4 linked regions of the Anolis sagrei genome follow. The protein of the gene in region 2 purifies or fractionates together with the protein of the main gene of each other region. This does not show direct contact. Links are inferred from orthologs where the notes say so. Each region holds a gene or a part of one and is shown on either strand. Other genes may lie near its edges. The genes, in order: SF3B3, DHX15, SF3B6 and CHERP.

Region 1 (7,325 bases), on a different chromosome or scaffold from region 2:
CTACAACTCCCAAATGTCAAGATCTATTTCCCCCAAACTCCATCTGTGCTCATATTTGGACATATTGAGTATTCCTACCAAGTTTGGTCCGGATCCATCATTGTTTGAGTCCACAGTGCTCTCTGGATGTAGGTGAACTACAACTCCCAAACTCAAGGTCATTGCCCACCCAAACCCTTCTAGTATTTTCTGTTGGTCATGGGAGTTCTGTGTGCCAAGTTTGGTTCAATTCTTTCGTTGGTGGGGTTCGGAATGCTCTTTGATTGTAGCTGAACTATAAATCCCAGCAACTACAACTCCCAAATGACAAAATCATAATTTTTGAGTGAAGGACATACATTGGGTTGTTAGGTGTGTTGTGTCCAAATTTGGTGTCAATTCGCCCAGTGGTTTTTGAGTTGTGTTAATCCCACAAACAAACATTACATTTTTATTTATATAGATATAGAATTATATATACACACACAGACACATACATATAGTCATGCATACATACACACACACACGTGTGTGTGTGTGTGTGTATAATCTTGGATGGCCTAGGGAAGGGCAAACACCCCTGTGGTGTTTCCTTTGCTGTCTGTGCCCTTGTTTGGAAGATTTCACCTCACTTTCTACTCTTGTAAGAATTGGATTTTGGAAATCTGCCTGTTGTGGAAACAAGGTTTGGGGCTAGAGCTTCATTGGAAACCCACTTTCCCCCTTGATACTGTGGATTTCCCTCCCTTCCTTCCCTCCTACTTCCTGTTCTCTCAGCCCCGTTGTTCTTAGCGAGGGCCCCTTCCTCCTAGCTGAAAAAAATCCCACGTTATCTGCTTTGAATTGGAATATGTGGCAGTGTGGACTCAGATAACTGTGGGATTTCCTGCCTTGATATTCTGGGTTCGATGGCTGTGTGGAAGGGTCCTAGGATGTTTGCGACTCATACAGAAATGGCATCCGATACCTTCTCGTCCCTGCCGGCTGAGCTCAATGACCGACTTGTCCAGCGAAAGGTAGCGATGGATGTGAGCGGCGGCTTGCTCGTAATCTTCGCCCCGCAGGGCCGTCTGAACTCCGTCCATGCAGAACTTCAGGTCCAAGATGTCATCCGCTCTCTGGATGGCCTGGTAGAGGCGGTTCTGCAAGAAGAAGAAGATAAAAAACTCGTGCGCCAGCTGTGCCCGTACCTTGGGAAGTCTGACTTGGCCACGGTAGTCCACGCTCTGGTTACATCCCGTTTAGACTACTGCAACACTCTCTACGTGGGGTTGCCTTTGAAGACGGCCTGGAAGCTCCAATTAGTCCAACGCTCGGCAGCCATGATTTTAACAGGAGCGGAGCGCAGAGAGCATACAACTCCTCTGCTGCACCAACTCCACTGGCTGCCGATCTGCTACCGGGCTCAATTCAAAGTGCTGGCGTTGACCTTTAAAGCCCTAAACGGTTCTGGCCCAACTTATCTATCCAAACGTATCTCGGCCTATCAGCCCACCAGGACCCTAAGATCTTCTGGGGAGGCCCTGCTCTCTATCCCGCCTGCTTCACAGGTGCGGCTGGCGGGGACGAGAGACAGGGCCTTTTCTGTGGTGGCCCCGCGGCTCTGGAACGCCCTCCCCATGGAGGTAAGATCAGCCCCCTCATTGATGGTATTCCGGAAAAGACTAAAAACCTGGATGTTCGAGCAGGCGTTCGGTTAACCCAGTGCAATAAATGTAATGATTGAAGGACTGGCAATTTGGACGACGAAACTGGATCACGTTTTTAGTCAAGAGATGTATTGGATTGTTTATTGATATATGTATTGTGGATTATGTTTTTATGCTTTTTAAACTGTATACTGTTGTTTGTTATAAGTTGTTGTAAACCGCGTTGAGTCGCCGGCTAGGCTGAGAAACGGCGGTATACAAGTATAGCAAATAAATAAATAAATAAAATAATGAGCCATCCCTGCAGTTGGCCTCCTGCAGCCAAGTGGGTACGGAGGAGATGACGGGGCGATTCCTGCCTGACAGGGTTACCTTGGCCAGATCCAGCTGCCGGACTTTGCTGCTGACGTTCTCTGCCAGGTTGCAGGTGAAGGTGATCATCCCGGCCAACTGCTTGGCATCGCCTTCGATCAGCTGCAGGTTGGGGCTGGAAACAGAGAGGAGGGAAAGAAGCCACTCTGGCTCTCACGGCGTCCACTCTCTCCGTCCTTGGCAATGTTAGAGCCTTGCACCCCTAAACACCCTTGCAAACTATGTGCAAAATATCTCACTCACCCCATGCGATGGAGGGAAGCCATCTTGCCCTCGATTGTGCCCTGCTGTTCCAGAAGCATCTCCAGCTCTTCCTCGACTGTGATCTGAAAACATACCAAGGGAATGGCTTTTTAGGTGTTCACTGTAACCAAAATAATAATAATAATAATAATAATAATAATAATGGCTGCATGGCCATCTGTCAGGAGTGCTTTGATTGTGCTTTTCCTGCATGGCATAATGGGTTTGGACTAGATGGCCCTTGGGGTCCCTTCCAACTCTAGGATTCTATTATTATTACTGAGGCTGGGTGGCCATCTGTTGGGAGGGCTTTGATGGCGCTTTTCCTGCATGGCAAGGGTTGGACTGAATGGCCCATGCGATCCCTTCCAACCCTATATTATTATTGAATATTATTGAGGGTGGTATTATTATTATTATTATATTATTATTATTATTATTATTATTATTATTATTATTATTATGCCTGCATGGCCACCTGCCAGGGGTGCTTCAATTGTGCTTTTCCTGCATGGCATCATGGAGTTGGACTGGATGGCCCTTGGGGTCCCTTCCAACTCTATTATTATTATTATTATTGCTGAATGGCCACCTGTCAGGGGTGCTTTGATTGTGCTTTTCCTGCATGGTATAATGGGTTTGGACTGGATGGCCCTTGGAGTCCCTTCCAACTCTAGGATTCTATTATTATTATTATTATTATTATTATTATTATTATTATTACTGAGGCTAGATGGCCTTTGGGGTCCCTTTGAACTCTATCATCATCATGAATATTATTGAGGCTGGACGGCCATCTATCAGGGAGGCTTTGATGGTGCTTTTCCTGCATGGCATAATGGGTTTGGACTGGATGGCCCTTGGGGTCTCTTCCAACTCTAGGATTCTATTATTATTATCATTATTACTGAGGCTGGATGGTCATCATGTCAGGGGGGCTTTGATGGTGCATTTCCTGCATGTCAGAAAGGGGTTGGACTAGTTGGCCTTTGGGGATCCCTTCCAACTCTATTATTATTATTATGGCTGAATGGCCATCTGTCAGGGGTGCTTTGATAGTGCTTTTCCTGCATGGCAGGGGTTGGACTGGATGGCCCTTGGGGTCCCTTCCAACTCTAGGATTCTACTACTACTACTACTATTATTATTATTACTGAGGCTAGTTGGCCTTTGAGGTCCCTTTGAACTTTATCATCATCATCATCATTACCATCATGAATATTATTGAGGCTTGACGGCCATCTATCAGGGGGGCTTTGATGGTGCTTTTCCTGCATGGCATCATGGAGTTGGACTGGATGGCCCATGTGGTCTCTTCCAACTCTATTATTATTATTATTATTATTATTATTATGGTTGCATGGCATCATGAGGTTGGACTGGATGGCCTTTGGGGTCCATTCCAACTAGGATTCTATTATTATTATTATTATTATTTCTGAGCCTGGATGGGCTATCTGTTGGGAGGGCTTTGATGGTGCTTTTCCTGAATGTCAGAAAATGGTTGGACTAGTTGGCCTTTGGGGGTCCCTTCCCACTCTATTATTATTATGGCTGCATGGCCATCTGTCAGGGGTGCTTTGATGGTGCTTTTCCTGCATGGCAGAAAGGGGTTGGACTAGGTGGCCTTTGGGGGTCCCTTCCAACTCTATTATTGTGATTCCATGACCCTCCCCCATATTCCTTCATTTCCGGGTTGGGCTGGATGCCCTCTGGGGACCCTTCCTGCCTCCTTTCCCACCTCTTCCGCGCAGAGGCGGCTGTAGGCGGCCTCGAGCTCCGTGAGGCCGGGGAGGGCGCGTATTTCCTCCATGGAGAGCGAGGCAGAGGCGGCAGGAGGAACTCCGGGTCCGCCAACCGCGCGGCCTTCCTTCCCCAGCGCCGCCATCTTGGCCCCGCGCCCCTCACCATCATCACTTCCGGTTTGCCGGTCGAAAATTGTCTCAGGCGCGCCGAGGGCAGCCCCGCAGAAGAGCGCAAGGAAGGAAGGACCCCTACTCAAAAGCATCACTTCCGGTTGGCCGGGCGGAAGTCGCTCCGGGAATTCGCTCAGGCGCGCCGAAGGCAGCCCCGGGCAGAGAGAGAGGAAAGAAGGAAGGACCCCTTTTGGCCTGCGCGCGCGGGAAGAGAGGCCGCCATGGCGCCGCTGAGGTGAAGCAGGCCGCGGCCGGGAAAATCCTTCGCCATCCTCGCCGTGCCGGGGCCCCAGCCACGCCGGGGAGACTCACAACGGGAGCCGGGGTCTCCCTTGGGCCGGGATTGGAGGTAGGCCCGGGCGGAGGAGCCGGAGAGGCCGAGGAGGAGGAGGAGGAGGAGGGCCGGGGCCTAGGCCGGAGCCTCAAGCCTGGCCGCCCAGAGGGATAGGAAGGCCTCCTCTGAGGGAAAGGCCTCAGAGTGAGTGTTAGCATAGAATACAATAGCTTTCACGCCTGGCCGCCGTGAGGGAAAGACCTCAGGGATTCCTCGCATATCAAAGGGAAAGGCCTCAGAGTGAGTGTAGGAAGGTCTTCTTTCTCAGAGCTGGAGAAGGGAGAAAGCCCCTACCACACGGGAGATGTGCACAAATAATAAGGAAAGGAAGGCCCCCTCTGAGGGAAAGGCCTCAGAGTGAGTGTTAGGAAGGGCTTTTCTCTCAGTGCTGGAGAAGGGAGAAAGTGCGTCTGGCCGCCCTGAGGGAAAGGCCTCAGAGTGAGTGTGAGCATAGAATAGAATAGCTTTCACGCCTGGCCGCCGTGAGGGAAAGGCCTCCGCAGAGAGACTTCGCATAGCAAAGGGAAAGGCCTCAGAGTGAGTGTGAGCATGGAATATAATAGCTTTCATGCCTGGCTACCCTGAAGGAAAGGCCTCAGGGATTCTTCGCATATCAAAGGGAAAGGCCTCAGAGTGAGTGTAGGAAGGTCTTCTTTCTCAGAGCTGGAGAAGGGGGAAAGGAGGCACATCAATGTGAAGCCATGAAGTTCAGCATAGCCATAACTCTAGAGTAAAAGTGAGCCTTCAGCCTGCCTGTCCTTGTCTTTGTCACCCTGCACCGTCTGCCAGATGGCAATAATAAGGCATTGTAAGGAGGGCCTTCCTTCTCAGAGCTGGAGAAGGGAGAAAGTAGGTAGGCCACGGTCCCAATGACACTCAAGCAATACTGGGTATACACACAAATACATAGAATATAATAGTGTTGGCCCATGCCTGATGTGCATTGTACAATGAGATTAAATGCTTTCCCCTTGCACACACTGCACAACCCCCAAAACCACATCAATGTGAAGCCATGGAGTTCATCATAGCCACAGCTCCAGGGTGAAAGCGATCCTTCAGCCTGCCTGTCCTTGTCTTTGTCACCCTGTGCTATCTGCCAGAAAGAAATAAGAGAAGAATATAATAGAATAGAACCGCTTTATTGTTATTGTGCATCTGGAATGGGCCTGGTGTTGGTCCACGCCTGATGCGCATTGTGCAACGAGATTAAATGCCTTTCCCTTGCACATCCCCTCAGGCCACATCAATGAAATGCTATGGAGTTCAGCATAGCCACAACTTAAGAGTAAAAGCTATCCTTCAGCCTGTCTGTCCTTTTCTTTGTCACCCTGCACTGTCTGCCAGGTGGCAATAAGAAGGCATTTCTTCCTTCTCAGAGCTGGAGAAGGGAGAAGGTAGGCAGGCCACAGTCTCAATAACACTCAAGCAATACTGGGTATACACACAAATATATAGAATAAATACTTTTATTATCATTGTGCATCAGGAATGGGTCTGATATGCATTGTACAGCGAGATTAAATCCCCCCCCCCTTGCACACACTGCACACTCCAAGGCCTCATTGGTGAAATGCCACAGAGTTTAGCATAGCCACAGCTCTAGTCAGTCAAAGCGATCCTTCAGTCTGTCTGTCCTTTTCTCTGTCACCCTGCGCCATCTGCCAGATAGCAATAATAAGAGGAGAATAGTATAGAACAGCTTTATTGCCATTGTGCTTCAGGCATGGTCCTGGTGTTGACCCAGCACATACCGCAAAACAACACACCTACCCCTCCACATTCTAATTGTTATGGCACATCGATGTGAAGCCATGGAGTTCAGCATAGCCACAGTTCCAAAGTAAAAGCTATCCTTCAGCCTGTCCTTGTCCTTGTCGCACTGCACCATCTGCCAGATAGCAATAATAAGAGAATAGACTAGTATAGAATAGCTTTATTGCCACCATGCATCAGGAATGGGCCTGGTGTTGGTCCATGCCTGATGTGCATTGTGCAACTAGATTAAATGCTTTCCCCCCACACACCGCAAAGACAACACACGCCCACCTCCACCGCACAGCCTCCAATGCCACATCAATGCAGGCTGGCAGCGGTTCCAGTGACACTCAAGCAACACTGTATATATGCACAAATACATAGACTAGAATAGCTTTGTTGTCGTTGTACATTAATAATGGGCCTGGTGTTGGCCCATGCCTGATGTGTATCGTGCAACAGGATTAAATGCCTTTCCCTTGCACATCAACGAAGTGCTGTGGAGTTTAGCATAGCCACAGCTCTAGGGTGAAAGCTATCCTTCAGCCTGCCTGTCCTTGTCTTTGTCACCCTGTGCCGTCTACCAGGTGGCAATAATAAGGCATTGTAAGGAGGACCTTCCTTGTCAGAGCTGGAGAAGGGAGAAAGAAAATTGATTCCTTCTTAGCATATCAAGGAGATCAATATATTCAGAGTGTGGTGTTTTCATGTTGACAAGATGCTTTCTTCCTCAAACCAAATATTGAGGGATTTGCAAAGTGGTGTTTTGATTTTGGAAATGCTTGTATGATGCATTCTTGCCTATGATCTCGATCCCCTTTTCTGAATCGGTGAGCATTCATTTCAATGTGTGGATCGATTCCATTCTATGCGTTTGTCTCTAATGGCTTGACTCTGTTGCTGGCAGGAGGACGGAGGTGAAGACCTCGAACCGGCACCATGTTCCTTTACAACCTGACCTTGCAGCGAGCCACAGGCATCAGCTATGCCATCCATGGCAATTTTTCAGGTGAGTGCCATTCTAACTGGTAGCATGTATGTGCAGCTAATGCAGGAGCCACCTCGTAAGACCCA
Region 2 (7,053 bases):
TGTATAGATAGATAGATTGCTGTTGGAACCAATTGAAACCAAGTCTCCCACAGCATCACTTGGAAGCCTCTCAATATATATAATATAATAATATATAGAATAACAGCATTGTGATGTAATAATACTATTATATTATATATAATATTAATAATGTTGCAATATTATATACAGTATTATGTATACTATATCTTATGATATAGTGCAATACATTATATAATAAAATAGTATATTATACTGGTAATGCATTATATATATATTGGTAAAATAATATACTATCATATAATAATATATAATAATGTCCTGATGGTGTAGTGGGTTAAAACGCTAAGCTGCTGAACTTGCTGACCAAAAGGTCAGGGGTTTGAATCTGGGAAGCAGGGTGAGCTCCTGCTGTTAGCCCCAGCTTCTGCCAACCTAGTAGTTTCAGCAGGAAGGTAATGGCACTCCATGTAGTCATGCTGGCCTCATGACCTTGGAGGCGTCTACAGACAACACCGGCTCTTCGGCTCAGAAAAGGAGATGAGCACCAACCCCCAGAGTCAGACACAACTGGACTTAATGTCAGGGGAAAAAATATTTACCTAACTAAATAATAATTGTATATTATATATTACATGTAATATTAGTAATAATATTGCAGTATTGTGGTATAGTGCAATATAGTAATATATAATACTAACATTGTGCTATGCTAATAATATATATTGTATATACATACAATATTGACAATATATAATGTGATACAATATAATACTAATATTTATTTGTTGTGTCACAGCAAACAATCCATTATATTACATTTCTAACAGAACAAAGCAAACAAACAGACAAATACAAAACTTGTGAGTTTGGTAGTTGGTTAAATGTCCTTTGACCAGTATCTAGCCACTTGGAGTGCTTCCGGTGTTGCTGCAAGAAGGTCCTCCATTGTGCATGTAGCAGGGCTCAGGTTGCATTGCAGCAGGTGGTCAGTGGTATGCTCCTCTCCACACTCGCATGTCGAGGATTCCACTTTGTACTTTGGGATGTACTTTGGCTCCACTTCTATTTAACTTTTACATCAACTCCATGGTGGAGCACCTTTACAACTTGGACTACCACCCTCCAAAACTGGCAGGAAGACACGTGTCTACCCTGCTTTATGCAGATGATGCAGTGATACTATCCAGAACTCAAGTAGGCCTGAGAAGAGCCCTGAGAGCCTTAACAAAATATTGTAATGAAGAACAGCTTCATCTTAATTATAAAAAAACCCAAAATTATGGTGTTTGCGAAATGACCCAAGCATCATACCTGGAGACTAGATGGACACAATATTGAACAGGTCTCCAGCTTTAAATACCTGGGAGTATTCTATCACCGCACAGGAAACAAGAAAGTACATATGGATTACGTAGCAGAGGCAGCACAAAAGAGCTCATATGCTATCCTAAAGTTCCTCAAAACAGGAGGAGGCCACTACATACCAGCTGCACTTAAGCTCTTTGAGGCAAAATCCATAGCACAAATGATGTATGGAGCCCAACTTGGTCCCTTCACAAACTATGCCCCTCTGGAGCAAGTACAATCAAAATTTCTAAGATCGGCGATGCAGGTCCCCAGATGTGTCTCAAACGCCACCCTGCGATTAGAGACAGGCCTTGTGAGAGTGGAGGCGAGAGTGTGGACAGCCACCCTCAATTATTGGCTGCATCTGTCTTTCTCAACATGTGGCCTTGCCCCATTAACTCTGAGAGATGAATTTCAGTCTACATGGAATAAGGCAGTGGCAACCAAAATCGCAACTCTAGGCTTCTCTCAAGGACAACTGCTAGGTATGGGATGGGACCAAGCCAAGGATCTTATTAGACAACGGATCCTGGATACAGAGCGACAATCAGACTTAGCCTGCTCTCCAGCATTCACCATTAGCGAAGATAGCAGATATCTCATCGCTCCCATGCCTTACTTAGCTAACCTGGAGGTGCCTAAACACCGAAGAGCTTTCACTTTGGCAAGATGCCACGCCCTTCCATCGGCAGTACTGGAGGGGAGGTACCGGAAGACCCCTGCTCAGGAGAGACTATGCCCGTGTGAGTCTGGCTACATCGAAACAACTGAACATGTGCTCCTCCAATGTGTGTTCTATAGAGACATTAGAGCTAATTTCATCACTCCATGGCTTTTAAAACATCCAGGGCGCACTGAAAGATATTACACCTCCCTGCTGCTCTCGGACTCTTGCTCTGCAACAACCTAGAGTGTTGCCAAGTTCTGTGCAGCAGCAATTAACATTAGATGGCTGATGACCGACTCCACCAGGCAACTTCCTGCCGGGAATATAGATAGAATGGTTTGTAATAACTGAAATGCTGTAAATGCTCCCCTCTCATCCCTTTTATAGCTTCCCATATTTGCTATTAGCCGCCCCCTATTTTAGATTCATACATGCACTTTAAACTGTAAGTTTAGTCTGTTTTATCTTTTTAATTTGTCTCTTTTATAACATGTTTTTAATCTGCTTTTAATCTGCTTTTATACTTGATCTACTTGGGAACTGCGATTCCCTCCCTTGGGCACCGATGCCCCATTCTGTACTGTGCTGGTCAAAGACCGTAATAAATCATTGATTGATTGATTGATTCCACTTTGTAGCCCCATTTCTCAAGGTTGGCTCTGCATCTCGTGGTGCCAGAGCGCAGTCTGTTCAGCGCCTTCCAAGTCGCCCAGTCTTCTGAGTGCCCAGGGGGGAGTCTCTCATCTGGTATCACCCATGAATTGAGGTGCTGGGTTTGGGCCTGCCACTTTTGGACTCTCGCTTGCTGGGGTGTTCCAGCGAGTGTCTCTGTAGATCTAAGAAAACTATGTCTTGATTTAAGTCGTTGACGTGCTGGCTGATACCCAAACAGGGGATGAGCAGGAGATGTCTCTGCCTTGGTCCTTTCACTATTGGCTGCTACTTCCCGGCGGATGTCAGGTGGTGCAATACCGGCTAAGCAGTGTAATTTCTCCAGTGGTGTGGGGCGCAGACACCCCGTGATAATGCGGCATGTTTCATTAAGAGCCACATCTACTGTTTTAGTGTGGTGAGATGTGTTCCACACTGGGCATGCATACTCAGCAACAGAGTAGCATAGCGCAAGGGCAGATGTCTTCACTGTGTCTGGTTGTGATCCCCAGGTTGTGCCAGTCAGCTTTCATATGATGTTGTTTCTAGCGCCCACCTTTTGTTTGATGTTCAGGCAGTGCTTCTTGTAGGTCAGAGCACGGTCCAAAGTGACTCCCAGGTATTTGGGTGTGTTGCAATGCTCCAGTGGGATTCCTTCCAAGGTGATCCTCAGAGCTCGGGATGCTTGTCCGTTCTTAAGGTGAAAGGCGCATGTCTGTGTTTTAGATGGATTAGGGATCAGTTGGTTTTCCCTGTAATAGGCAGTAAGAGCACCTAGAGCTTCGGAGAGCTTCTGTTCAACCATCTCGAAGCTCCCTGCTTGAGCAGTAATGGCACGATCATCAGCATAGATTAAACTCTCTGTCCCTTCTGGCAGTGGCTGGTCATTGGTGTAGATGTTGAACATGGATGGAGCAAGCACGCTCCCCTGAGGCAGCCGTTCTTCTGTTTCCGCCATCTGCTTCTCTGGCCCTGGAACTCAACCAAAAAGCTCCTGTTTTGTAGCAGGTTTCCTATGAGGCAGGTGAGGTGGTTATACATTTTTCTCAGGAGGAGGCGGTGGTTCACAGTATCATAGGCCGCTGACAAGTCTATGAAGACAGCTCCATAATACAATCTAACAATATATAAAAAATATTGTGATATAGTAATGCTGATATATTAAATATAATTACCACTGACAATTTACAATAAGACATAATGTCTTATTCTTGCATATTTTAAGTTGTAATGTTTTTGATTGTGAGCCGCTTTGAGTCTCCGTATGGAGAGACAAAGCGGGATATAAAAAAATAAAATAAACCGGAGGAGGAACTATTCTGCAGAGCGGAACGGAAATGCTAGGGAACAGAATTTCCGGCCGGACGTCTTACGCGCTGCACCGCATTCCCTTTCTACGCTGGGAAAGGCTCGCCTCGCGGCCGGCGCTGGCTTGCTTGCTTCCTTCCTGCCGCCATTTTAGCTCCTCGCTCTCTGGCTCGGCGGCGGCCTCCTCGGCTCTCAGCTCCCGCCATGTCCAAGCGGCACCGCCTCGACCTCGGGGACGACTACGGCTCCAACAAGAAGCGGCTCGCCTCCGACGGGTAAGACCCGAGCCGGGGCGAGGGAAGAGAACGGGAGGGGAGGCGCCGCTTCTCTCCCTCCCTCCTCCTCCTCTCTCTTTGGCCTTCGTTGTTTTGTGAATCCACTGAGGGGAGAGGGTGGTGGGAGGCGAATGTTGCTCATCTGGTTTTGGAGAACGCTCAGCGCCATTGGCCCTCCCTTACGCGTTATTTTTAGCCTCCCTTTTAGAGAACGAGGCATTGAGAGGCCTGGAGCCAGGCTTCGCGGCCTCTTTGTTGTAGCCAGGCTGAGGCCTGATCTACACTGAACTGCGGCGGCCAGACAACGAAACTCCCACAAAACCACGCGAAAGGAAGCCCTTAATCACTACCCAGGTCTCAAACTTTGTAATCATTTGGTCAACGAAACCCATTTTCTTCCATACCAGGGTTGTTGAAACTGCATTGAATGGTCAAATGGGGCCTAAGGATCAAGTGTCGTCAAATGGGCTGCTGAAAAAGCGACTACCTTTATAATAATAATAATAACCTTTATTTATACCCCCCCCCCCCGTCCTCAAGGACTTGCGGCAGCTCACAACAGAATCAAGTCACAATACATACATAAGTAGAAACCAAAAAGACAACAAGCATAGAGTTTGAAGAGACCTCATGGGCCATCCAGTCCAACCCCCTGCCAAAAAGCGCCAAAATGCGCCATATACTATTACATGAAACTTTGAGTTGGCATACACTTCTCTATCCCCTTAGCAAGCCATGACACCTTTAAAACCATTTATCAATTTTACATAAAATCTGACAATCAAAGAGCTGGAAGAGACCTCATGGGCTATCCAGTCCAACCCCCTGCCAAAAAGCAGGAATATTGCATTCAAAGCACCCCTGACAGATGGCCATCTAGCCTCTGTTTAAAAGCTTCCAAAGAAGGAGCCTCCACCACACTCCGGGGCAGAGAGTTCCTCTGCTGAACAGCTCTCACAGTCAGGAAGTTCTTCCTCATGTTCAGAAGGAATCTCCTTTCTTGTAGTTTGAAGCCATTGTTCTGCGTCCTAGTCTCCAGGAAAGCAGAAAACAAGTTTGCTCCCTCCTCCCTGTGACTTCCTGTCACATATTTATACATGGGTATCATATCTCCGCTCAGCCTTCTCTTCTTCTGGCTAAACATGCTGAGCTCCTTAAGTTGCTCCTCATAGGGCTTGCTCTCCAGACCCTTGATCATTTTAGTTGCCCTCCTCTGGACACATTCCCGCTTGTCAATATCGCTCTTCAATTGTGGTGCCCAGAATTGGACACAATATTCCAAGTGTGGTCAAACCAAGGCGGAATAGAGGGGTAGCATTCCTTCCCTAGATCTAGACACTACGCTCCTATTGATGCAGGTCAAAATCCCATTGGCTTTTTTTGCCGCCACGTCACATTGTTGGCTCATGTTTAACTTGTTGTCCACGAGAACTCCAATAGCTTTTTCACCCATACTGCTCTCAAGCCAGGCGTCCCCCATTCTGTATCTTTGCAAGACCTTATATATAACCAATAATCATAAAAGAATTTTTTTAAAGTATCACAATAAATAAATAACAGATTAAAAATGGTACTTGGTTTCAAAACATGGAGTCAATAGGCTAAAAAGCTAAAAAACCACCATCAGAATGAAAAGCAACCAACCATTTTCAAAAGCCAGCTTCCGCATTCAAGTTTTTCGCTCTTTCCTAAAGTTAGTTGTCTGATTACTTTCGGGTGAGCATTCCAAACCTGGGGGGCCACCACCAAGAAGGTCCTTTCTCATTCCCATCAGCCATGCTTGTGAGGGTGTTGGGACCATCGCTTCTCGGCCTTTTGGCTAAGATCAAGTGTAGAGAAGCCACCCCCCCCCCCCCAGGACTTTCAGGCCCGAGTTGGTTCATAGGGGAAATGCGGTCCCACAAATAGGCTGGATCTTTCACTCCTGCTTCATGTTGACCATTTGTAAGTGGAAAGCTAAGGAATCAGATAGAAAGTATTGGGGGCCATCTGCACAGGCCTGCAATGCAGTTTATCTGCATTGAACTTCATTATATGATTTTACATTGACCGTATAATAAAGTTTCAAACTGCATTATATAGCATTGGAGATGGGGCCTGTGTTTCATACATGGGAAAAATCAGCTTCATTTGAACCAGATACACATGCTGTCTGTGCTTCATATATCCAATGACAAATGTGCCATATACTATTACATGAAACTTTGAGTTGGCACACACTTCTCTATCCCCTTAGCAAGCCATGACACCTTTCTGAGAGTCTCAGAAAGCTGATTCCTGCAAGCAAAACCTTCTGCAGACCCTTTAAAACCATTTATCAATGTTACATAAAATCTGACAATCATAGAGCTGGAAGAGACCTCATGGGCTATCCAGTCCAACCCCCTGCCAAGAAGCAGGAAAATCACATTCAAAGCACCCCAACAGATGGCCATCCAGCCTCTGCTTAAAGGTCTCCTAAGAAGGAGCCTCCACCACATTCAGAGGCAGAGAGTTCCACTGCTGAACAGCGCTCACAGTCAGGAAGTTCTTCCTAATGTTCAGGTGGAATCTCCTTTCCTGTAATTTGAAGCCATTGTTCTGCGTCCTATTCTCTAGGGCAGCAAAAAATAATAATAATCATCACCATCACCTTTATTTTTAACATTCACAAAATATCAAAACATATAATATAAAACACATAATATAAGACAAAATTGCGTAGATTAAAATACATATAAAATATAAATCTCCATAATTTAGAATTATCTGTTATCAGCATCGCCACAAGGTAAAATCAATGATAGTCTACTTTCATTCCTTGCTCCCTCTTCCTTACGACTT
Region 3 (6,872 bases), on a different chromosome or scaffold from region 2:
GGAGAGCGTTCCAGAGCCAGGGGATATGACTGCGTAAGGCCCTTTCTCTTGTCCCCACCAGCCAGCAGACCTCAGGGCCCAAGTAAGTCCATAGAGCAGTGGTTCTCAACCTGGGGTCCCCAGATGTTTTTGGCCTTCAACTCCCAGAAATCCTAACAGCTAGTAAACTGGCTGGGATTTCTGGGAGTTGTAGGCCAAAACATCTGGGGAGCCACAGGTTGAGAACCACTGCCATAGAGGGAGACGTGATCGTGCAAATAGACTGGACCCAAACCGTAAAAGGCTTTATAGGTAACAATCTGCCTGGAAACACACAGGGAGCCAGTGGAGCTGCATTAACAGAGGGATTGAGCATTATACTCAACCTGTAGGATGTAAAGCAAGCTGGCCAGTACACATAATCAAATTATGCAAGATATGTATGTTTACAAATATACGCATACATATACAAATACACACACACACACACACACATATAGATTCTCACACACATACTACTTCATCACGTTAGAGCAGGGGTCCTCAAACTAAGGCCAGGGGGCTGGATGCAGCCCTCCAAGGTCATTTACCTGGCCCTCGCACAGGGTCAACCTAAGTCTGAAACAACTTGAAAGCACACAACAACAACCCTATCTCATCAGCCAAAAAGCAGGTCCACACTTCCCATTGAAATACTAATAACTTTATATTCACCGGGATTGTGGCGCAGCTGGCTGAGTGTCAGCTGCATTAAGATCACTCTGACCGAAAGGTCATGAGTTCGAAGCCAGCCCGGGTTGGAGTGGGTTTCCAACCAATTGTGTAGCCCGTTGTCGACCTTTGCAACCCGAAAGACAGTTGCATCTGTCAAGTAGGAAAATAAGGTACCACCTTAAAGTGTGGGGAGGCTAAATTAACTAATTTATGAGGCCATAAAGACTTCAGCAAAAGCATGTGGGGAATGCGGAAGTACTTCATCAGTGTTGCAGATGGACGATGAAAGCGACAGCTCCCCTGGCGGCCAGAAAAAAGTTAAATAGCCTCTGTCTGTCTGTATATGTTGTATGTCAAAATTGGCATTGAATGTTTTCCATACTCCTGGTCAGTCGAAAGGTACTCCTGGTCAGTCGAAAGGCGGAACAGGGTACAGGGTTACAGCCTGTGTTGGATGGGGTCGCACTCCCCCTGAAGACGCAGGTTCGCAGCTTGGGTGTGATCCTGGACTCATCGCTGAGCCTGGAACCCCAGGTCTTGGCGGTGACCAGGGGAGCATTTGCACAGCTTAGGCTCGTGCGCCAGCTGCGCCCGTACCTTGAGAAGTCTGACTTGGCCACAGTAGTCCACGCTCTTGTTACATCCCGCCTAGACTACTGCAACGCTCTCTACGTGGGGTTGCCTTTGAAGACGGCTCGGAAGCTCCAGCTAGTCCAACGCTCGGCAGCCATGATACTAACAGGAGCGGAGCGCAGGGAGCACAAAACTCCTCTGCTGCACCAGCTCCACTGGCTGCCGATCTGCTACCGGGCTCAATTCAAATTGCTGGCGTTGGCCTTTAAAGCCCTAAACGGTTCGGGCCCAAGCTACCTATCTGAACGTATCTCTGCCTATGAACCCACCAGGACTCTAAGATCTTCTGGGGAGGCCCTGCTCTCGATCCCACCTGCATCACAAGCAGGGCCTTCTCTGTGGTGGCCCCTCAGCTGTGGAGCGCCCTTCCCATGGACATAAGATCAGCTCCGACGTTAATGGTGTTTCGAAAAAAGCTAAAAACATGGCTGTTTGAACAGGCATTCAGATAAACAGTGCAATGAATATGATGAATATAGGAATGGAATTATAGACAACGAATTGGATCACGATTCTAGTTAGGGGACGTTGTTGTGTTGTTATTGATGTGCCATTACTGTATATTGTGCTTTCATGGTTTTTAAATCGTTTATTGCTATTTTGTTATGACTGTTTTTGCTATGTTGTGAACCGCGTTGAGTCGCCTTCGGGCTGAGAAACTGCGGTATACAAGCAAAGTAAATAAATAAATAAATAAATAAATATATGTGTACACTGTAACCCGCCTTAGTCCCCTGCGGGGTGAGAAGGGCAGAATATAAAAGCTGTAAATAAACAAATAAATGAATAAATATTTGTTGAAATTGTTCTTCATTTTAATTATTGTATTGTTTAAAGTGTTTTTTGCACTACAAATAAGATATGTGCAGTGTGCATGGGAATTCATTCGGGTTTTTTTTCCTTCAAATTATAATCCGGCCCTCCAACTGTTTGAAAGACTGTGACCTGGCCCTCTGTTTAAAAGGTTTGAGGACCCCTGCACTAGAGAATGAATCCACTTTAAATCTAGTTCCTGCCTGCTGCAGAATTCTGGGGTTTGTAGTTTAGTGAGGCTGTTAACGGCTCTACCTTAAACTACAAATCCCAGAATTCTGCAGGAGGCAGCAACCGGATTTTAAGTGGATTCATTCTCCAGAACAGTGGTTCTCAACCTGTGGGTCGCCAGATGTTTTGGCCTACAACTCCCAGAAACCCAAGCCGGTTTACCAGCTGAGAGTCGAAGGCCAAAGCATCTGGGGACCCACAGGTTGAGGACTACTGCTCATAGGTCCATAGATATAACTACATCTATCTATATACACACACAGTGATCTCTGTGAAAAGCCTCCTTGTTTTCTGAAGCCTTTGGGAATTTTAGTTTCACACACAGAGTTATATATAAAAGCCCAAAGCTTCGGAAGACAAGGAGCTTTTCTTTATCGGGATGCCAACCCATTCCCGCCTGGTTTGCTGGGCCAGAACACCCCCGTCCCACGAAACGGCTTCTGGGGCGAGGAACAAGGGTCCCTTCAGACTCACATTGGCGCGCTTGGCCGCTTGCATCGCCATGGCGAAGGTTAATAGGGTCTCCGGCTTCTTGGGAGAAAAATAAGGAAACTTCGCAGCGAGTCCGCGGCGGATGAAGAGCTCCAAGGCCTCGCTTCGCCTTCCTCTTTGCCTTAGCCGGGAAAAGAGACACGTCACTTCCGGTCCTGGCCAAGGCTAAGTAACATCGCGTGGCTTTGATTCCCGGGCGTGTTTGGGCTCTCCGCCCCCTAGAGGCGAGGAGGAGCGCACGCAATATAAGGAGATCCTTGCATCCCACAAAAAAGGTTTTCACCTTTCACCAGCTAATAGCAGCTCAGGAGATTATTTGAAGGCCAAGTAAAGACAGTTAAATGTGTTGTCAAAGGCTTTCATGCTCGGAATCACTGGGTTGTTGTGAGTTCTCCAGGCAGTATGGACATGTTCCAGAAGCATTCTCTCCTGATGTTTTGCCTGTCTAAGATCACTAAAGATCACCAAAGACTACAGTCTTCAGAAAGAACTTGAAGACCGGGCTGTTCCGATGTGCCTTCCCAGAATAGGAAAACTCCATCAATAAGTCCCAGAAGCACTTTATTAGAATTAAGATTGCTGGCACACTGCACTTACCCTATAATCCTTACGTATCACCGGTCACATCAGCACTTTTAATTCTGTACCCATTACTCTGGCCCGGCCCAGTTTTATTGTGTGCTGGTGTATTGTTTATTGCTTGTTGTTTAATATTGCTTTAACTGTTTTTAATTTGGTTTAGGTTGTGTATTGTTATGTTGTGTTTTGAGGCCTTGGCCTTTGTAAGCCACATCGAGTCCTTCAGGAGATGCTAGCGGGGTACAAATAAAGATAATAATAATAATAATAATAATAATAATAATAATAGGCAACCCCAGAGGTTGTGATCTCTTTTGGAAACTAGGCAAGTGGGGTTTGTATATCTGTGGAATGTCCAGGGTGGGAGAAAGAACTCTTGTCTGCTAGAGGCAGGCGTGAATGTAGCAATTGGCCACCTTGATTAGCCCTAATAGCCTTGCAGCTTCAAAACCTGGCTGCTTTCTGCCTGGGGGAATCCTTTGTTGGGAGGTGATTAGTTGGCCCTGATTGTTTCCTTTCTGGAATTCCCCTGGTTTTGAGTGTTGTTCTTTATTTACTGTCCTGATTTTAGAGTTTTTATATACTGGTAGCCAGATTTTGTTCATTTCCTCCTGGAATTTGTAGTTTGGCAAGGCACCAGCACACTTTTGGTCCAGAGGAGGCGAAAGACCTGGTAAAACTACAGCTCCCATTAAAATGAATGAATGAGATTTTATTTCTACCCTGCCCTATCTCCCCCGGGCCCTTCCACACAGTCACATAACCCAGAATATCAAGGCAGAAAACCCCACAATATCTGCTTTGAACTGGGATATATAATGCCATATATCCCAGTTCAAAGCAGATAATGTGGGGTTTTATTCAACTGTGTGGAAGGGATCTCAGTGAGGACTCTGGGTGGCTTACAATATATCGAACGGCAAATGTTCAACGCCGTATAAAAATACAAAATAACACAAATCAAGAGATAAAACCTAATTCTACAGTGTAGGAGATGCACCCCAAGTCAATAGTCTCACCCACAATCTGCTTCTAAAACTGCACTGCGCATGCGTCCTGGCTCGAAACAATCCGATGTCGAAGGGGAGCACGGACGTGTTGGTCGGTCTAGAGTGGGAAAGAGTGGGAGGGCAGGCTCTCCTCTTCCTCGCTTTGAGGAAGCAGCAGCAGCAGCAGCAACATGCCGAAGCAGCGCCCCTCGCCCAAGAAGCTCCCCACGAAGAAGGGCGACTGCAGCCAGTGGGTGATGGTGGTCCCAGGTAAAGCAGCCCGCCTCTCCTCTTCGTCCTTTTTGCCTTCCAAAAAGGGCGGGAAAAGACTCCAGAGGGAATGCACTTTGACACAACTTGGGCTCCCATGGCTCAAGGCTATGGAGTAGCCAGTTTTGCTGAGGCCCCTTCCACACAGCTCAATAAAACCCCACATTATCTGCTTTTAACTGGGTTATATGGCAGTGAGGACTCAGATAACCCAGTTCAAAGCAGATACTGTGCAGTTTCTCAAGTCGCTCCTGACACGACAAAAAAAAAAGTCCAAAGGAAACTCAGGGTGGTTTACAAACGGCCCAATTTGATGCCTACAATAACAAAGAACAATTAAAACATTTAGCATAAATAACATTTGATACAATAAAATAAAACTGATAAAAGTATTATGCCACAGCGTTTCATTACTAAAATCATTACCCAGTCGCATTGTTCAGTTGTTCCGAAGATCTGAGTTTGTCTGCTACACTGCATTTGGGAAAGCTTGCGCAAAATGCCAGGTTTTGACTTTTTTTTTTTGAAATGTTAGGAGGGTGGGGGCCAATCTGATATCCCTAGGGAGGGCGTTCCATAGCCAAGGGGCCACCACTGAGAAGGCCCTGTCCCTCGTTCCTGCCAACCAAGTCTGTGAAGAAGGCAGGACCGAAAGCAGGGCCTCCCCAGAAGATCTTAGGGTCCTAGATGGTCCATAAGGAGAGATACATTCAGACAGGTAAGCTGGGCCAAAACCGTTTAGGGCTGTAGCCACCAAAACAAAGTTTCTGGAGTCGAGCAACTGCTTTCAAAGTAACTGCTGCACAATTAAATAGGAAATAACACTTTCAAACCAGGGACAGATTTTTTTTTCAAATTTTGTTACATAGTGTCATCTTTTTTGGTTGTGTAAGCTTTCAAGTTGATTTATGGCAACCGCTTAAATAGGTTTTCTTAGGCAAGTAATACCCAGATGTGGTCTTGCTAGTTTCGTCCTCCAAAATATTTACTGCCCATTTAATGCAGCTAGATTTCCCTATGAGCAGATTTTTCTTTCCCCTCTTGTATCTTCATAGTAAACATCTCCCAAAAAGCAGAAGTTGTCTCTGATTTAGGCCCCTTCCACACAGCTGAATAAAATCGCACATTATCTGCTTTGAACTGGGATATATGGCAGCATAAACTCAGATAACACAGTTTAAAGCGATTTTCTCCCTTGATATTCTGAAATAGAGGGCTGTGTGGTAGGGTCCCTTTCTTTCCAGATCTCAATTACAGATTTGTTTATTGAATTCATATCCTGTATTTTTTGCCTCCACAAATGTCACTCGGGAGGGTAATAAAACAAGGAAGTGCACAACTAGATGGAATCACAAATAAAGTGAATTAATGGATCGTTTTCAAAGGAGTAGATAAATGAGTGGCAGCCAGCTATTTCACAGGGAAAGTCTACACTGCCATGCAATCCAGATGATCAAAGCAGATAATCCACATTATCTGCTTTGAGCCGGATTATTTGAGTCTACACTGCCATATAATCTAGTTCAGAGCAGATAACCTGCATTTTATATGACAGTCCAGATGATCAAATCAGATAATCCATTATCTGCTTTGAGCAGGATTATACGAATCTACACTGCCATATAATCTAGTTCAGAGCAGATACCTGGATTTTATATGACAATCCAGATAATCAAACCAGATAATCCACATTATCTGTTCTGAGCAGGATTATATGAGTCTACACTGCCATATAATCCAGTTCAGAGCAGATAACTTGTATTTTATATTGCAGTTCAGAAGTTATGTGCCATTTTTGATTGTCAGATTTCAGAGCAGCAACTCCTTTGTGACAAAAGACAATGGCAGTCTGAGACATTCTGTATCTGAAGTAGCAGATTAGTAACTAAGAAATGAGGAAGGAGCAGGGAAATTATTTGTCAGAACTAGTCCTGGCAACAAAAGTATTTCTTTCGTTGAGTATTCTAGAAAGACTTTTCTTTGTGAAGGCAGAAATGAAACTAAAAGTCGCTTCTTGAACTCTTTGGTGTCTCAACATTTATGGAATTAATCATAAAATCAAAGCAACTTGTATTAAGTAGTGGACTTCTTGGATCTCCTAAGAGCATTTCTATTTTCCCATGGGTCACTAGGCAAGCCTAGTCTTTGTTGTTAAAATGCATTTTAAAAACC
Region 4 (7,206 bases), on a different chromosome or scaffold from region 2:
ATAAAAGCGCCAGTGACGATGACGATTTGCTTTTTCTCAACTTCGACAGAGCAACATATTTTAAAATCACCTCCTTATATCTTACAAGGACTTGGTTCTTGCTCTCCTTCAAAGAGCTGGAGCTTCCCAAGAGTCTGGGATCACAGGCTACAGAAGCAACTGGAAGTCGGCTTGCTTTTTCAAAAAGGGACTTAATGGGATGCAAATGTAGGACTTAGAAAAGTTTTGAGTTTCAGTGTACAGGAATTAGGATTCTTTGCGTGTGTGTGTGTGTGTGGAAAGCTTGTAAGCTTCTAACCGGGAGGCGAAAAGCCCACACATGTTGTAATTATACGTTTTGAAATATGGGAAGATGTAAATAAAGATGAATTCTGCAAAGTGGGGATGGAGTCTGCACACTATGTTTGTTCCGGGCGGAGAGAGAAACAAGAGGAGCTGGGACTGTTATTATTATTATTATTATTATTACTACTACTACTACTACTAGCTGTACCCTGCCACGTGTTGCTGTGGCTCAGTCTGGTTAAATGGAAAAGAAAGAGCTGGTTTCTGATATATATAATTTCATAATGCTTGTGGCTATACAAGTTTTTGTTGTTTTTTTGTCTGTGAAATAAGAATAATAATGATGTAAAAAAATCACAATACTGACCTATATAATCTATATAAATAAAAATGTAATGTTAGTTCGTGCTACCATCAGAACTCAGAAACCACTGGGGGAATTGACACCATATTTGGACACAAGACACCTAACAACCCAATGTATGTCCTCCACTCATAAAAACACTGAAAAACACAGCAAAGGGGACTTAAAAAGCCCACAAAAGCTAAATGACGAAAAGATAAATGACAATTTGGGAATTGTCGTTGCTGGGATTTATAGTTTACCTACAATCAAAGAGCATTCTGAACTCCACCAATGATGGAATTGGGCCAAACTTAGCACACAGGGCTCCCATGACCAGTAGAAAATACTGGAAGGGTTTGGTGGACATTGACCTTGAGTTTGGGAATTGTAGTTCACCCACATCCAGAGAGCACTGTGGACGCAAACAATGATGGATCTGGACCAAACTTGGCACGAATACTCCATATGCCCAAATATGAACACAGATGGAGTTTGGAGGAAATAGACCTTGACATTTGGGATTTGTACTTACTGGGATTTATAGTTCACCTACAATCAAATAGCATTCTGAACGCCACCAATGATGGAATTGAACCAAAGATGGCATACAGGACTTCCATGACCAACAGAACACACTGGAAGGGTTTGGTGGGCATTGACCTTGAGTTTGGGAGTTGTAGTTCACCTACATCCAGAGAGCACTGTGGACACAAACAATGATGGATCTGGACCAAACTTGGCAGAAATCCTCAATATGCACAAATGTAAACACTGGTGGAGTTTGGGGAAAATAGACCTTGTCATTTGGGAGTTGTAGTTGCTGGGATTTATAGTTCACCTACAATCAAAGAGCATTCTGAACCCCACGAACGACAGAATCGGGGCAAACTTCCCACACAGAACCTCCATGACCATCAGAAAATACTTAAGGCCATCCAATCCAACTTCCTTCATCAGGGCAAGAAAACACAAAGTCCTCCTGACAAAGAGCCATCCAGTCATAGAAATAGATAGATATGATTCACACAGAGAGAGATATATAGTATCATAGATTTGAAAGGGACCCTTAAAGGACAATGATACGTTGAATGTTCCAGAGTGGGCAACCAGACACTCTCCACATCAACACTGACAAAGAAACAGCAAGAAATACTGTTTACCCACAGGCATAAAGAAATTATAAATATTAGAAACCAACACTTTCTCATTATTTTATTTTCCAGATCAACAGACGGCCACAGCAACGCGTGGGAGGGGACAGCTAGTAATGCATAAAAATCACAAAGTTAAAAACTTGGCATTGCACTAAATGTCTTTTGACCATAAGCTGGCCAACTGGAGTGCCTCTGGTGTTGCTGTAAGGAGGTCCTCTATTGTGCATGTGGCAGGGCTCAGGCTGCATTGTAGAAAGTGGTCGGTGGTTTGCTCTTCTCCACATTCGCATGTTGAAGACTCCACTTTGCAACCCCATTTCTTAAGATTGGCTCTGCACGTGGTGTCAAGAGTGCAGTCTGTTCAGCATCTTCCAAGTCACCCAGTCTTCTGTGTGACCGGGGGGAGTCCCTCATCCAGTCTCAGACACTGATCGAGGTTCCGGGTTTTGGCCTGCCACTTTTGGACTCTCGCTTGCTGAGGTGTTCCTGTGAGTATCTCTGTAGATCTTAGGAAACTATTTCTTGATTTAAGACATTAGCACACTGGCTGATATCCGAACAGAGGATGAGCCGAAGATGTCCATTCCTTATTTTTATTATTAACTTTATTTATACCTCTCAAAATCTCCCGAAGGACTCGATACGGCTTACAAAGGCCAAAACCATTCCTTGGTCCTGTCATTACAGGCTTCATAGAATCATAGAGTTGGAAGAGACCTCATGGGCCATCCAGTCCAACCCCTGCCAAGAAGCAGGAATATTGCATTCAAAGTATCCCTGACAGATGGCCACCCAGCCTCTGTTTAAAAGCTTCCAAAGAAGGAGCCTCCACCACACTCCGGGGCAGAGAGTTCCACTGCTGAACGGCTCTCACAGTCAGGAAGTTCTTCCTAATGTTCAGATGGAATCTCCTCTCTTGTAGTTTGAAGCCATTGTTCCGCGTCCTAGTCTCCAAGGAAGCAGAAAACAAGCTTGCTCCCTCCTCCCTGTGGCTTCCTCTCACATATTTATACATGGCTATCATATTTCCTCTCAGCCTTCTCTTCTTCAGGCTAAACATGCCCAGTTCCCTAAGCCGCTCCTCATAGGGCTTGTTCTCCAGACCCTTGATCATTTTAGTCGCCCTCCTCTGGACACATTCCAGCTTGTCAATATCTCCCTTCAATTGTGGTGCCTAGAACTGGACACAATATTCCAGGTGTGGTCTAAAGATCGGACTGCAAAGACTCATAGAATCAAAGGGTTGGAAGAGACCTGATAGGCCATCTAGTCCTGACTGTGAGAGCTGGGGAGGAAGGGGAACATGAGCCAGCAGTGTCATGCGGCAGCTAAAAAAGCCAATGGGATTTTGGCCTGCATAAATAGGAGCCTAGTGCCTAGATCCAGGGAAGTCCTGCTCCCCATGCTCTATTCTATTCTGCCTTGGTCCAACCACTTTACCTGAAATCACACTGTGTCCAATTCCAGGCAATTGAAGGGAGGTATTGACTCTTAGCTGGAATGTGTCCAGAGGAAGAGGGCGACTCAAAGGATCAAGGGTCTGGAGAACAAGCCCTATGAGGAGCAACTGAAAGAGCTGGGCATGTTTGGTCTTCAGAAAAGAAGGCTGAGAGGAGACATGAATGTGCCATGCATCCAGAGGTGAGGGGAAGTCACAGGGAGGAGGGAAGTCTTGTTTTCTGCTGCCCTGGAGACTAGGACATAATGGGGCAATGGTTTCAAACTGCAGATAGGAGATTCCACCTGAACATGAGGAAGAACTTCCTGACTGTGAGAGAGAGCCGTTCAGCAGTGGAACTCTCTGCCCCGGAGTGTGGTGGAGGCTCCTTCTTTGGAGGCTTTGAAACAGAGGTTGGATGGCCATCTGCTGTGGGGGGGCTTTGAATAAGATTTTCCTGCTTCTTGGCAGAATGGGGTTGGACTGGATGGCCCACCAGGTCTCTTCCAACTCTAGGATTCTAGTATTCTCGTTGTTACAACCCAGAGCTGTTCAGCAGTGGAACTCTCTGCACCGGAGTGTGGTGGAGGCTCCTTCTTTGGAAGCTTTGGAGGCTGGATGGTGATTTGAATGAAATATTCCTGCTTCTTGGCAGAATGGGGTTGGACTGGATGGCCCATGAGGTCTCTTCTATGATTCTCAGGAGGAGACGATGATTTACAGCAGTCCTGGGCCAATTTGGGCCCTCCTTCCCTCCCTTCAGGTCTTTTGGACTCCAACTCCCACCATTCATTACAGCCTTAGGCCCCTTCCTTTTCCCCCTCAAAGCGGAAATGGAAAAGGAAAGGACCTGAGGCTGTGAGGAATGGTGGGAGTTGCACCAGTCTCTTTCCGGAGTGGGCGTGGCTTAACAAGACGGGGCAGCCCCGCCCACTTTCTTGGCGATGGAGCAAATGCGGCCGGCGGAGATTTGGTTCCCTTTGGCGCTCACTGCGCACGCGCGCGGAGGCAGAAGGAGCGGAGGTTGGCGCGGTTCCTAAGGCGACGGCGCTGCTGCCGCAAAGTGCGGGCGCGCGGGGGAGTGTCGTGCTCAGCCCCGCCAAAGGGGCTCCCTTGACGGCTGGTGCGGCCTAGTCGCGCCTCTGAGGAGGACCTCACTCACTCGGAGTGGTCTCTTCCGACCAGCGCCACCATGGAGATGCCGCCGCCCCCGCCTGAAGGTAAGGCCCCGGCTCATTCGCACTCTGCCCATGCTCAGGGGACGGGCAAAGGGAGACTTCCCGAGAGAGAGAGAAAGAGAGAGGTCGGGGGACAGGCCTCTAAGGCCTCATGAATATCCCATCCCATTTTCAATCTTTCGAAACAGGTTTTTACTCTCAGCCGTTATTCCAATTTTTTTAAAATAATAATTAAAAATTGGCAGAAGTATTCACCAAAATATTGGCAGAAAGAAGCAGAAATCTCAATTAAAATGTTCGCAAGAATATTCATAAAAATATTCATTACAACACTCGAAATATTTTCAGAAATAACCAAAAAATAGTCAGGAATATTCTCAAAAAAAGTTTTTCAGAAATATTAATTGAAACATTTTCAGGGGAACTTCCATTCAGATGGAATGGAAGTCACTTCCCACATGTGGTGGGAATGTGAAAAAATCCAAAAGTTCCAAGAAATAATCAGGAAAGAAATGGAGGAGCTATTAGGGATCAAGATAGAATGGAATAAGGCCCAAGTTTTCACTCAGAAATTTGAAAGTAAAAAGGAATATAAGGAAAGTGAGGAAATAATAAAACATATGATAGAGGGAATTAGAGCCTCGGTGGCCCTGGGCTGGAAAGACCACAAGAAATGGGATACAAAAACCTGGTACAAATATTTAGCAGATTACCTTCTTCAAGATTATATTAGCGAAAGGAAAAGTTACTATATGACAGGTCAAAGCAAAAAGACATGGAAAGCAAAATGGAAGGGTCTCATATATAGAATAAAGGGGAAAGATAAATATACGGTGTTGAACAAAACTATTATCATGATTGAACAATTGTAATAAACACAGCTAAAGTATTTATTTGTTCCCGGGGGGGGGGGGGGATTGTGGTGGTGGCGGGATTGGGGAAAAAAATGGTATTTTGAATGTTACTTTCAAAGATGGTATGTTTCTATGTATTATACTGTACAATAATAATTTAAAAATTTTTATTAAAAAAGGAATAGAAGTCACTTTTTTTCTTTCATTTTTATTTCTAATTTGTGTGTGTGTGTGGATGTATTCTTGTAGTTTATTTTTATTTATTTTTTTAGGGTTTTATTTAGGATACCTTTTTACTTCTTACTTTATTGGCCTTTCCCTCTCTCTTTTTTTCTTTACTTTTCTATACCTTATTGTTCTCACTCTTTCGTTGTATTCTATATAAAATTTAATAAAATTTCTTTAAAAAAAACATTTTCAGGGGAATTCACAACATATTCACGAAAATGCTCAAAAGTTTCACACCTAGCTCCAGCAGACAAGAGTCCTTTGTCCCACCCTGGTCATTCCACAGATATATAAACCCATTTTTCTACTTCTAACACACCTCACTACCTCTGAGGATGCTTGCCATAGATGCAGGCGAAACGTCAGGAGAAAATGCCTCTAGAACATGGCCATATAGCCCAAAAAAATCTACAATAACCCAGTGATTCCGGCCATGAAAGCCTTCGACAATACAATGCTCAAAAGTATTTTCAGAAATAATCTAAAATGTTCACAAAATAATGTCAGAAATAACCAAATATATTAAAATATTTTCAGAAATATTACAAAGTATTCATTAAAATACACACAATTTTTACAGAAATCAAAAATATTCATTGAAATATTTGCAGAAATATTCACAAAAATTGTAATATAGTCATTAAAATATGCTCAACATATTTTCAGAAATCAAAAATATTCATTAAAATATTTGCAGAAATATTCACAAAATATTCATTAACGTACCCACAATTTTTACAGAAATCAAAAATGTTAACTGAAATATTTGCAGAAATATTCACAAAAATTGTAATATAGTCATTAAAATATGCTCAAAATATTTTCAGAAATCAAAAATATTCATTAAAATATTTGCAGAAATATTCATTAAAGTACACACAATTTTTACAGAAACTATCAAAAATATTCATTAAAATATTTGCAGAAGTATTCACAAAGTTATAACATATTCATTAAAATATTTTCGGGGATATTCACAAAATACTAAGAAATATTTGCAGAAATAATCTAAAATGTTCACAAAATAATTTCAGAAATAACCGAATATATTAAAATATTTGCAGAAATATTACAAAGTATTCATTAAAATACACACAATTTTTACAGAAATCATTAAAAATATTCATTGAAATATTTGCAGAAATATTCACAAAAATTATATCCATTAAAATATGCACAAAATACTTTCAGAAATCATTAAAAATATTCATTAAAATACACAAAAATATTCTCAGAAATGAAAATAAATGTTTATTAAAACATTTGCAGAAATATTGACAAACATACTTACAGAAATAATCATAAAAATTGTGAGAGTTCAAAACAACTGTAGGAAGGGACGAAGTTATCCCAGGCCTGATTTATCGTGTAATGTGACACTGGATTAATATGTAAGCTGCTATGTAAATGTGACACTCATGTGAAGCCCCTTTCAATATAATTTATATTTTTCCTGCAAAGCCTTCCATTGGGTCCCTTCCATCCTATATATTATTGATTTGGCATGTTATTATCTGGTTTATTTTTACTTTGCATATACTATTCATTGTATTTATTTATGTTGTAAGCTGCCCCAAGTCCTTTCGGTGAGAGGAGCCGGGTATAAATAAAGTTTATTATTATTTTTATTATTATTGAGTCTGAATTTAATAAATGTAAATAATAATATGGAATTATAAGTAAGAATGTTATATATGTGTGTGTGTATGTATATAACTCTATA

What was found.
Region 1: the proteins of DHX15 (region 2) and SF3B3 purify together in Homo sapiens (co-immunoprecipitation; 4 studies listed by BioGRID and IntAct, with this or other methods). This does not show direct contact. The link is inferred for Anolis sagrei from reciprocal best matches to the Homo sapiens genes DHX15 and SF3B3.
Region 3: the proteins of DHX15 (region 2) and SF3B6 fractionate together in Homo sapiens (co-fractionation; 3 studies listed by BioGRID and IntAct, with this or other methods). This does not show direct contact. The link is inferred for Anolis sagrei from reciprocal best matches to the Homo sapiens genes DHX15 and SF3B6.
Region 4: the proteins of DHX15 (region 2) and CHERP purify together in Homo sapiens (co-immunoprecipitation; 3 studies listed by BioGRID and IntAct, with this or other methods). This does not show direct contact. The link is inferred for Anolis sagrei from reciprocal best matches to the Homo sapiens genes DHX15 and CHERP.

The regions. Positions count from the first base shown.
Region 1 is NC_090028.1:506,775-514,099, forward strand, and holds the start of SF3B3 (splicing factor 3B subunit 3), read left to right. Parts: upstream 1-4,303; 5' UTR 4,304-4,508; intron 4,509-7,158; 5' UTR 7,159-7,190; coding exon 7,191-7,260; intron 7,261-7,325. UniProt on the Homo sapiens protein: Component of the 17S U2 SnRNP complex of the spliceosome, a large ribonucleoprotein complex that removes introns from transcribed pre-mRNAs.
Region 2 is NC_090025.1:112,388,415-112,395,467, reverse strand, and holds the start of DHX15 (ATP-dependent RNA helicase DHX15), read left to right. Parts: upstream 1-4,049; 5' UTR 4,050-4,159; coding exon 4,160-4,230; intron 4,231-7,053.
Region 3 is NC_090021.1:139,467,354-139,474,225, forward strand, and holds the start of SF3B6 (splicing factor 3B subunit 6), read right to left. Parts: upstream 3,013-6,872; 5' UTR 2,875-3,012; coding exon 2,845-2,874; intron 1-2,844. Other genes in the region: RNASEH2B (ribonuclease H2 subunit B), read left to right, coding at 4,622-4,700.
Region 4 is NC_090034.1:59,700,263-59,707,468, reverse strand, and holds the start of CHERP (calcium homeostasis endoplasmic reticulum protein), read left to right. Parts: upstream 1-4,189; 5' UTR 4,190-4,415; coding exon 4,416-4,443; intron 4,444-7,206. UniProt on the Homo sapiens protein: Involved in calcium homeostasis, growth and proliferation.